2 linked regions of the Xenopus tropicalis genome follow. The protein of the gene in region 1 purifies or fractionates together with the protein of each later gene. This does not show direct contact. Links are inferred from orthologs where the notes say so. Each region holds a gene or a part of one and is shown on either strand. Other genes may lie near its edges.

The links.
Region 2: the proteins of rnf19a (region 1) and sod1 purify together in Homo sapiens (affinity purification with western blotting, with the first as the bait; 3 studies listed by BioGRID). This does not show direct contact. The link is inferred for Xenopus tropicalis from reciprocal best matches to the Homo sapiens genes RNF19A and SOD1.

What each region holds. Positions count from the first base shown.
Region 1 is NC_030682.2:128,194,318-128,197,745, forward strand, and holds part of rnf19a (E3 ubiquitin-protein ligase RNF19A), read right to left. Parts: intron 3,394-3,428; coding exon 3,231-3,393; intron 2,751-3,230; coding exon 2,636-2,750; intron 2,470-2,635; coding exon 2,308-2,469; intron 1,005-2,307; coding exon 791-1,004; intron 31-790; coding exon 1-30. UniProt on the Homo sapiens protein: E3 ubiquitin-protein ligase which accepts ubiquitin from E2 ubiquitin-conjugating enzymes UBE2L3 and UBE2L6 in the form of a thioester and then directly transfers the ubiquitin to targeted substrates, such as SNCAIP or CASR.
Region 2 is NC_030678.2:15,648,470-15,652,905, forward strand, and holds the start of sod1 (superoxide dismutase [Cu-Zn]), read right to left. Parts: upstream 2,871-4,436; 5' UTR 2,855-2,870; coding exon 2,786-2,854; intron 1-2,785. UniProt on the Homo sapiens protein: Destroys radicals which are normally produced within the cells and which are toxic to biological systems.

The sequences.
Region 1 (3,428 bases):
TCCTTCTGTACGTCTGCTTGCACTTCCAGCCTGTGGGGACGGAGATCTTTAGATGCTGGCCATGTCCATATGTTATCTGCATTTCTACTACTCATATGTCTATGCCACTATCCCACTACCTTGGGGCAGAAGTCTGTGTCCTGCAGAGCACAGTGCAATGACAAATGGGGCACAGCACTATCATTAGGCTGAATGCTACATAGTTCCATAGCCAGTTACCACACCATGAAACCTTTGTACATATAATCCCTACCCAGCTCCCAGTTAATCTTTACCATCCTAGCTGCTTCTATAAGTGAACCTTAAGCTCCTAGTTAACCTATGCCATCCTGGGTGCTGCAGGGCTAGGGGATATCTGATGGGGAGAGTTTAGTTGTAGGGGTCCCAAAGTTTGTCCTCTAATAGCAGGAAATTCTGCATACAGCATAAAGATATAATTACTGGGAGAAAACATGCTTGCACACATGGGAAAACACAAGGCATAACTTACCAAGCCCAAAGTATGCGGAGAACTGTAGTTCCCACAGGGCTGTCATTAGATCCTGGACAGCTATAATATCGGTATTCTGTATAGGCCGTGGTGCAGGCAGCACAGCGCCCATTGATCATGTAACATGAACTGAATGCCTAGTTAGAAGGTGGTGATATGGCAAGTTGGTACAGAGATGCAGTGACCACGGCACAGCTGCAGTATGGCTGGCTGAATGCTCCCTCCCTGTAAATGTGGGTCCTACTCCTTGCTCTAATGCCCATGGCAGCAGTACTACCTAGCTACAGAGCCATGCCTTACCTATTAAAGCAATTCACCATAGCACTTCCGGACAGGCTGCCGGTGATGCTGGCCCCAGCCAGTGCCATGGTGCTAGCAGTTTCGCTAAGGTTATCCCGGATGGTTCCAATTCTTTCCAAGTGACTCCCACTGGCACTCAAGCTGCCCGTCATGGCACCTACACTTCCTTCTCCGATGCTGGGGTTGTTGCGCGCTTCTGCAACGGACGTGGCATCTAAACAACACAAAGCAAAAATGTATAGTAAACACACACTAACACGCCAACTTGAACTAAAATGTCTTGCTATGAACCAGATTCTGCACACAGGGATAAGAGTTGTGCCACCTGGGATGAACATAAGAGCTGGCCATATTGGCCAATGTGGGGTCAAATCCCTGTGTGAATAACCTGGTAGTAAAAAGCCATGCATTGTTGGGCAAGAAAGGTGTTAAATGCCTAAGTTATTTTACAGACTGTTCTGGGCAAGCCTGGGGTTTCACATCAGGAAATAACGAGAGGAAAATCTGCATTTGGCAGAGACCTTGGAAGCTTGGAGCAATATGTCCTGTACATTCTGTTTCCAGGCAATGGCGTAAACACACAGCGCAGGCCAAGCAGGAAAGAGCATCAGTCTGTACGGGAGCAGGAAAGTGCGCTAGCACCCACGGGTGCTGCTATTTGCCTGGAACTCTATAGCTGCCCATGCACCCTGATTGCCCAAGCACATGGATGGCCACTGAACTGGGTCAAATTGGGCAGAGTCAATCATTTGACCCCCAGGCCCACGATCTGACCATACTATAGGCAGGGATTCTGTTCCCAGTAACCCAAACAGACAGTTCAGACACAGACTTGCATTCTCCCGATACTGTAGATCTCAGCATTTTTGGGGTTAGATATGATTTGTCACTGTGCCCAGAAAAGCTCTTGGCTTGTGCAGATATGAAAGCATTTCCCTTTAGCATGACCAGAAGGTTCTGCTTGGTAATCGCTCCTTATATGGAACATTTCTCTCTCCCCAAGCACATCCCCCGTCTGATCCCGCCACTGAGGGACCACCCCATCACCCACCGACAGATCAAACATACTTATCATAAACAGGAGCTGCCACTTTCTACCTCCGCTTATTAGTCCCAGAAAGGTGCCACTGATGAACTACAACTCCCATCACCCTCTACCAGCAGCTGCTGCTCAAGCAGAAGTAACTAACAGTTGTACATTTGCTCTTGTTGTGGGCAGGACTTGTGCTGCATACACATTCCCACTATGATACACAATTATATTTAAAGGAAACGAAGGGGGGAAAAAAATCAGAAAACAATCATTTAAAAATGTCTTTGTTGAAAACAGTCCCCCCAAATTCTTTCCCTGCATACAATTTGCACAGGGGGAGAAAGGATTTAGTTGAGTTCTGTTCAAAGTAACCTAAAAGTTGTGGGTTCAGTCTGGGTGAACCTAGAGTGCAATTCTATTCAGAAATACACAAATTATTTAGATCATTGCTGCCTTTATAGAGAACACTGTTGGCCTCTCTCACCTGTAGCGGTATTTGTGCCACCGACATTGATATCATTCTCATCATCAAATTCAATCCGGACTCCTTTGCCGGTGCCAGCAGAAACCCCGCAGCCGCCACTTCGGCACAGTGAGATGGGGACCACTCCATAGACATAGGCTAACATAATCGGAACACCGATACCTTGGTGACAGCAGAAGAATGTTATTATAATTGTATCCTGATTTTATTATGGGATGCCCAGCTTTTGCCTTTGCAGCAGCTGTGATCGGCAGTGTGACTGGCCGTGGCCAAGTCCGCATTTGGAACTATGCAAGTGAATGTTTATCATTGCAGAGCCTACACTTACCGACAGTTACTGCTGCCACAACTGGCGACACAATGACAGACAAGGTGACACCACCTGCGATGGCCAGATTCCTCTTGTGCTTTGAAATGTCTTTGCCTTCGTAACGATTGTGAATCTGTGAGAAAACACATTTCATGCCATTAATTAACTCATATTATGGTCAGGCTGGTTATTCATCCCACAATTCCTTGCTAACATGATTAGAATTCCTTAATCCGAGGCCTATTCGTTTATAAAAAAAAAAAAAAAAAAAAATAGAGAGGCTTGTGGGTAACTTACAGAATCACAGTTCCCCATACATAAACACCTATATTCAGTCTCCTAACAAACTGTCACTGCCTGTGTTTGTGCTTCTCAGTTACAGGAAATAATAACATAAAGCAATAAAGTGAAAACATTTCAGTTATAAGCAGTGACCGCTCCCAAAACTCCTTCACTCTCACAGCAATTGAGCCATAAGGGGTGCCACCTCGAGGTGCATTGCCCATCTGTGCCAAGCTATGCACATTGGTGATGACCAACAACTCTGGGCAAAACTTTCTCTCTAGGTATTAGCCTTGCTCAGCACATATATAAAACACAGTTGGTGACCTACCTTTCGTCCCACATATACAGGGATGCCAATTATCATGGCAGGAATGGCAATTCCAGCTATCAGTGCTATGCCCACCGGTGCCCCCACCAGGGTTCCTAGTTGCCAGAGGATCTTTTTCTTTCTGCTCCATGGCTTCTTCCCCCAAAATGTGCATCCAGAAGGACTGAGAAAACAAAGGACATTGTAAGAATCAATAAC
Region 2 (4,436 bases), on another chromosome or scaffold:
TACAGTGTATAGAAATCTATGTTATATTAAAGCTGGAATGTGCGGGTAGGATAGCGGAGCTATGGGATATATATGGCTACAGCATTTGGATTCAGCGAGGCGCAGGCTCTAACTGAACCCCTACCCTGAGTCACATGACTATTAAAGCTCTAGACGACTGAATGTAATAACGCTGCACATGTGGGCAAATCCGCATATCGTGCCAGTGCCACAGATTCAACTTGTCTTTTTAAACACAGCCCATGTTACTGGCCACTCATGCAGCAGATGGATCAAAAAGTGCCAGCACCTGAGGGGTTAATGGCATATGGCCCGCCTACAGAATGGGAAACCAATCAGAGCCACAGAGAAGATTCCTGACCTCGGGTTCATTTTTAAGCTGACTTATCTGTGGGATTGTGGGAGCTGCAGTCCAACACTGCCCGTCTCAGACACCGCTGGCACTGCTGCAGCCAATGAAACGCCGGAGCAAATGGCTGTTATTGCAAAACAAAGCTCGACGTTCCAGTCCCAAAGTGCTGAGTCACACTTACACAGCAGTGCCCTAACTGCCTGGCATTGTGCCCTATCTGCCTGGCATTCTGCCACACTGGCTGCTTCTATTGCAAAGAGCCCAGATGCAGTCAGATAGTGGGAGTTGTAGTTCAACCGCATCTAGCGGAGTCCCTGGGCCCAACACTGCTCTACAGACAGTGAATGACTGCACAATGTGGCTAATGGTGAGTGTGTGCCCTGGGCATAAACAGTGAGGGCTTGTGCTGCATCAGGGCCCCCCTGGCACAATTGCACTAACTGGCACAGCCTCAACCTGCCTGCCCAGCAGGCTAATTACAAGGAGATAACCAAGAGTGGCTTTGCCAACATGTATAATCCCCATGCCACATGGCCACAAAGCAGCGAGCCCCCGGCCCTCACACCCACACAACAGATGGCCGCTCTGACCCGACTTCCCCTCGCTGAGAGCCGCAGCTTAGCCCAGTGATAGCCGGCCCGCTGGCACGTCATGCAGCCTGGGCCTCACTGCAAACACACAGTCTGGGGTGAAAGGGCGGCACGTGACACACCAACCAGAACAGCGGGTCACAACATCAACCTGTGACTCTCCTGTATAACTAAACTATAACTCCCTGCATGCTCTTTGTGTTCATTGTAACCAATAGCAGCACTGGGCAAAGCCCTGGGGCACTGGTTTCAATTCCCTGGAGTTATGCAGGGCACCCATTCCTCATCTACTACATGGCAGGAACGGCTCCGGCAGGGCATGGGGCACTGGTAACAATGCATGTGTATAAGGACAGCAGACATGGGCACAACTGGCACCACAGGCTGTATGAAACTACAACTCCCAGCACCTACTTGTTCTGGAAGGTATTTTTGCAGGGCACTAAGCAGCAAACTAAATGATTCTGTGGGATTTCCCTACAGCGCAACATGGACTTTCCCCCCTGGATTCTGTGCTGTGGGGGTGGGACACTAGGTACAGAGCTAAAGGCAAGAGGCCTGGGAGAGGAGAGAGAGAGTGAGAGGGGGGGGGGGGGGAGACTAACGTGTGCATCCCACTTACAGCCCTCTGTTATTATACAACTCCCATCAACTGTCATTCATGATATAGCGGTCAGTGGGCTGCGGGGAGTTACATATCCCTCACCGAGTGGCGCTCACACCCCGGGGCCCTATAACAAGCGCTGTGTGTAGGAGAGACCGTGGAAGTGGCACAGGGGCCACAGCTTATGTGGAAATGATTTGTTCCCACCAGTAAAAGTCTAGGACAGAGACAAGACCCCCCCACACCTATACTGGCAATGCAGAAATACCCTCCTATGGGACTGTCCCTCCGCCTCCCAGCATGCACTGCCAACCCAACCGCCTCCCAGCATGCACTGCCAACCCAACCGCCTCCCAGCATGCACTGCCAACCCAACCGCCTCCCAGCATGCACTGCCAACCCAACCGCCTCCCAGCATGCACTGCCAACCCAACCGCCTCCCAGCATGCACTGCCAACCCAACCGCCTCCCAGCATGCACTGCCAACCCAACCGCCTCCCAGCATGCACTGCCAACCCAACCGCCTCCCAGCATGCACTGCCAACCCAACCGCCTCCCAGCATGCACTGCCAACCCAACCGCCTCCCAGCATGCACTGCCAACCCAACCGCCTCCCAGCATGCACTGCCAACCCAACCGCCTCCCAGCATGCACTGCCAACCCAACCGCCTCCCAGCATGCACTGCCAACCCAACCGCCTCCCAGCATGCACTGCCAACCCAACCGCCTCCCAGCATGCACTGCCAACCCAACCGCCTCCCAGCATGCACTGCCAACCCAACCGCCTCCCAGCATGCACTGCCAACCCAACCGCCTCCCAGCATGCACTGCCAACCCAACCGCCTCCCAGCATGCACTGCCAACCCAACCGCCTCCCAGCATGCACTGCCAACCCAACCGCCTCCCAGCATGCACTGCCAACCCAACCGCCTCCCAGCATGCACTGCCAACCCAACCGCCTCCCAGCATGCACTGCCAACCCAACCGCCTCCCAGCATGCACTGCCAACCCAACCGCCTCCCAGCATGCACTGCCAACCCAACCGCCTCCCAGCATGCACTGCCAACCCAACCGCCTCCCAGCATGCACTGTGCATCTCATACTGCCTAAGGGGAAAGGCTGGTTGGAATTGCACAGATGGCGCAGGCTGCAGGAACACTAGCAGCTGAAGGCACAGGACAGGCCCAGTAAGGGTAAGCGCATAAGGCACAATGCCTAAAGCCACGCTACAATACTCGCCTGTTGCTGGAAGTGCACCACCCCCTTCACGTCGCCGCTTCCCGCCAGCACACACACCGCCCGCACCATGACTGCAGCTACCGAGACCGGACAGCGGAGAAAGCGGAGCCGCGCACCTTGAGAGACAACTAGTGACACAAACGTACCACGTGATTCCTCCAACCAATAAAAGCGGCGCTTTAGGCCCCACCGCCCCAGCAGCTGAGCCAATGGGCTGCTCCCTCAACCACGTGACCCGCGGGCTGCCTGTAAGCTCTGACTCCGCCCAAATCTTTATTCTTGGTTGTATAATCAATAAAAATATCATTTTAATTAACAACATTTATTTGCACAGTTTCAGTGCTTTTAACGTTATTTGTAAATGCAATTGCTAAGGCAGTATCTGCTTATCCCTTTTTATTCTTGGGTTTTGACTTGAAACTGTAGCAGAAGTGTTAATGGGCGGATTTACATTAATGCTGAACTTCTCCAAACCCACCTGTTACTTCAAAATAAATACAAAATAAAGTATTTAAAAAAAAGATTTCCTTACTGAGCAGTGCTACTGACACTATGGGGCCCATTTACTAAACAATTTTGAGATAAATTCGTATTTTTATAGAACATTTTGGAATGTATGGGAAAAAGTCAGTTTCATGGTTTTTCATGGTTTTCGGTAAAATTTCCATGAAAAAGTCGTATTTTGTGCACAGAATATGAACATTTTGGAATTCATTATCGCTATGGTTACACTTTGGGACGTTGCCAGGTTTGTCAAGTGCCATTGAGTCCTATGGGGGCTTCAAAAACTGTTTTTGTGGCGTTTACAAACTTTCAGAACGCAATTGCGATATTTTTGCACAAACGATAAAAGCTTTGTCGAGACATTTTAGAACTACAGAAATTATCGTGTTTACTTTGCATTTCAAGGCCAGAAAAAAGCGCATTTTAGTAAATGTGCCCCTATGTCTGTTTCTTGGAAAAGCCCCAGGCTCCGCCAAACTATCCCGATCCCTGGCTGCCCTCCCCTATTGCTCCCTCGCTGCCCTCCCCCTGCTGATCGTGGAAAAAGTAAGTATAAGTTGCACTGGGGGGGGGGGCTAGCCTTAGATGAGTAGCCGGTGGGGGTGCCAGAGGGGGTGAGGGGACCCCTGGGTAGCAGTCGGACCCTGGCACTGGAGGGGCTAGCCTTAGATGAGTAGCCGGTGGGGGTGCCAGAGGGGGTGTGGGGGCCCCTGGGTAGCAGGATAGCATAAATAATGCCTGGGTGCAGGATAGCAAAGCATCTGTATAGTATGTATAAATGCCGCACTCACAGGTCTTATGAAAACAAAAAATATTTATTAGCAAGGACTAACGTTTCGGCTGACACAGCAGCCTTTCTCAAAGTGAATGTGCAACAAACAAATCCCCCAATAAACCCAACAGTGGCGCCAAAACCAGTATGACATCATCAACTGGGCGTGTGTTATCAAAAATAGAGAAAAAAAACACAAAGAAAACAAAAAAAAACAAAAAAAAAAATAGAGTAAAATCGAGATTTTCAGACAGAAAAGGGCAAAGTGCAATTACCGGTGTGGTTATCACAGGTTGAACACCCAGTGTGAGGGAAATTGATCAGTGAAAAGTAAATGTTAAAATACTTGTACACACATGTGTTGAACTATAACTC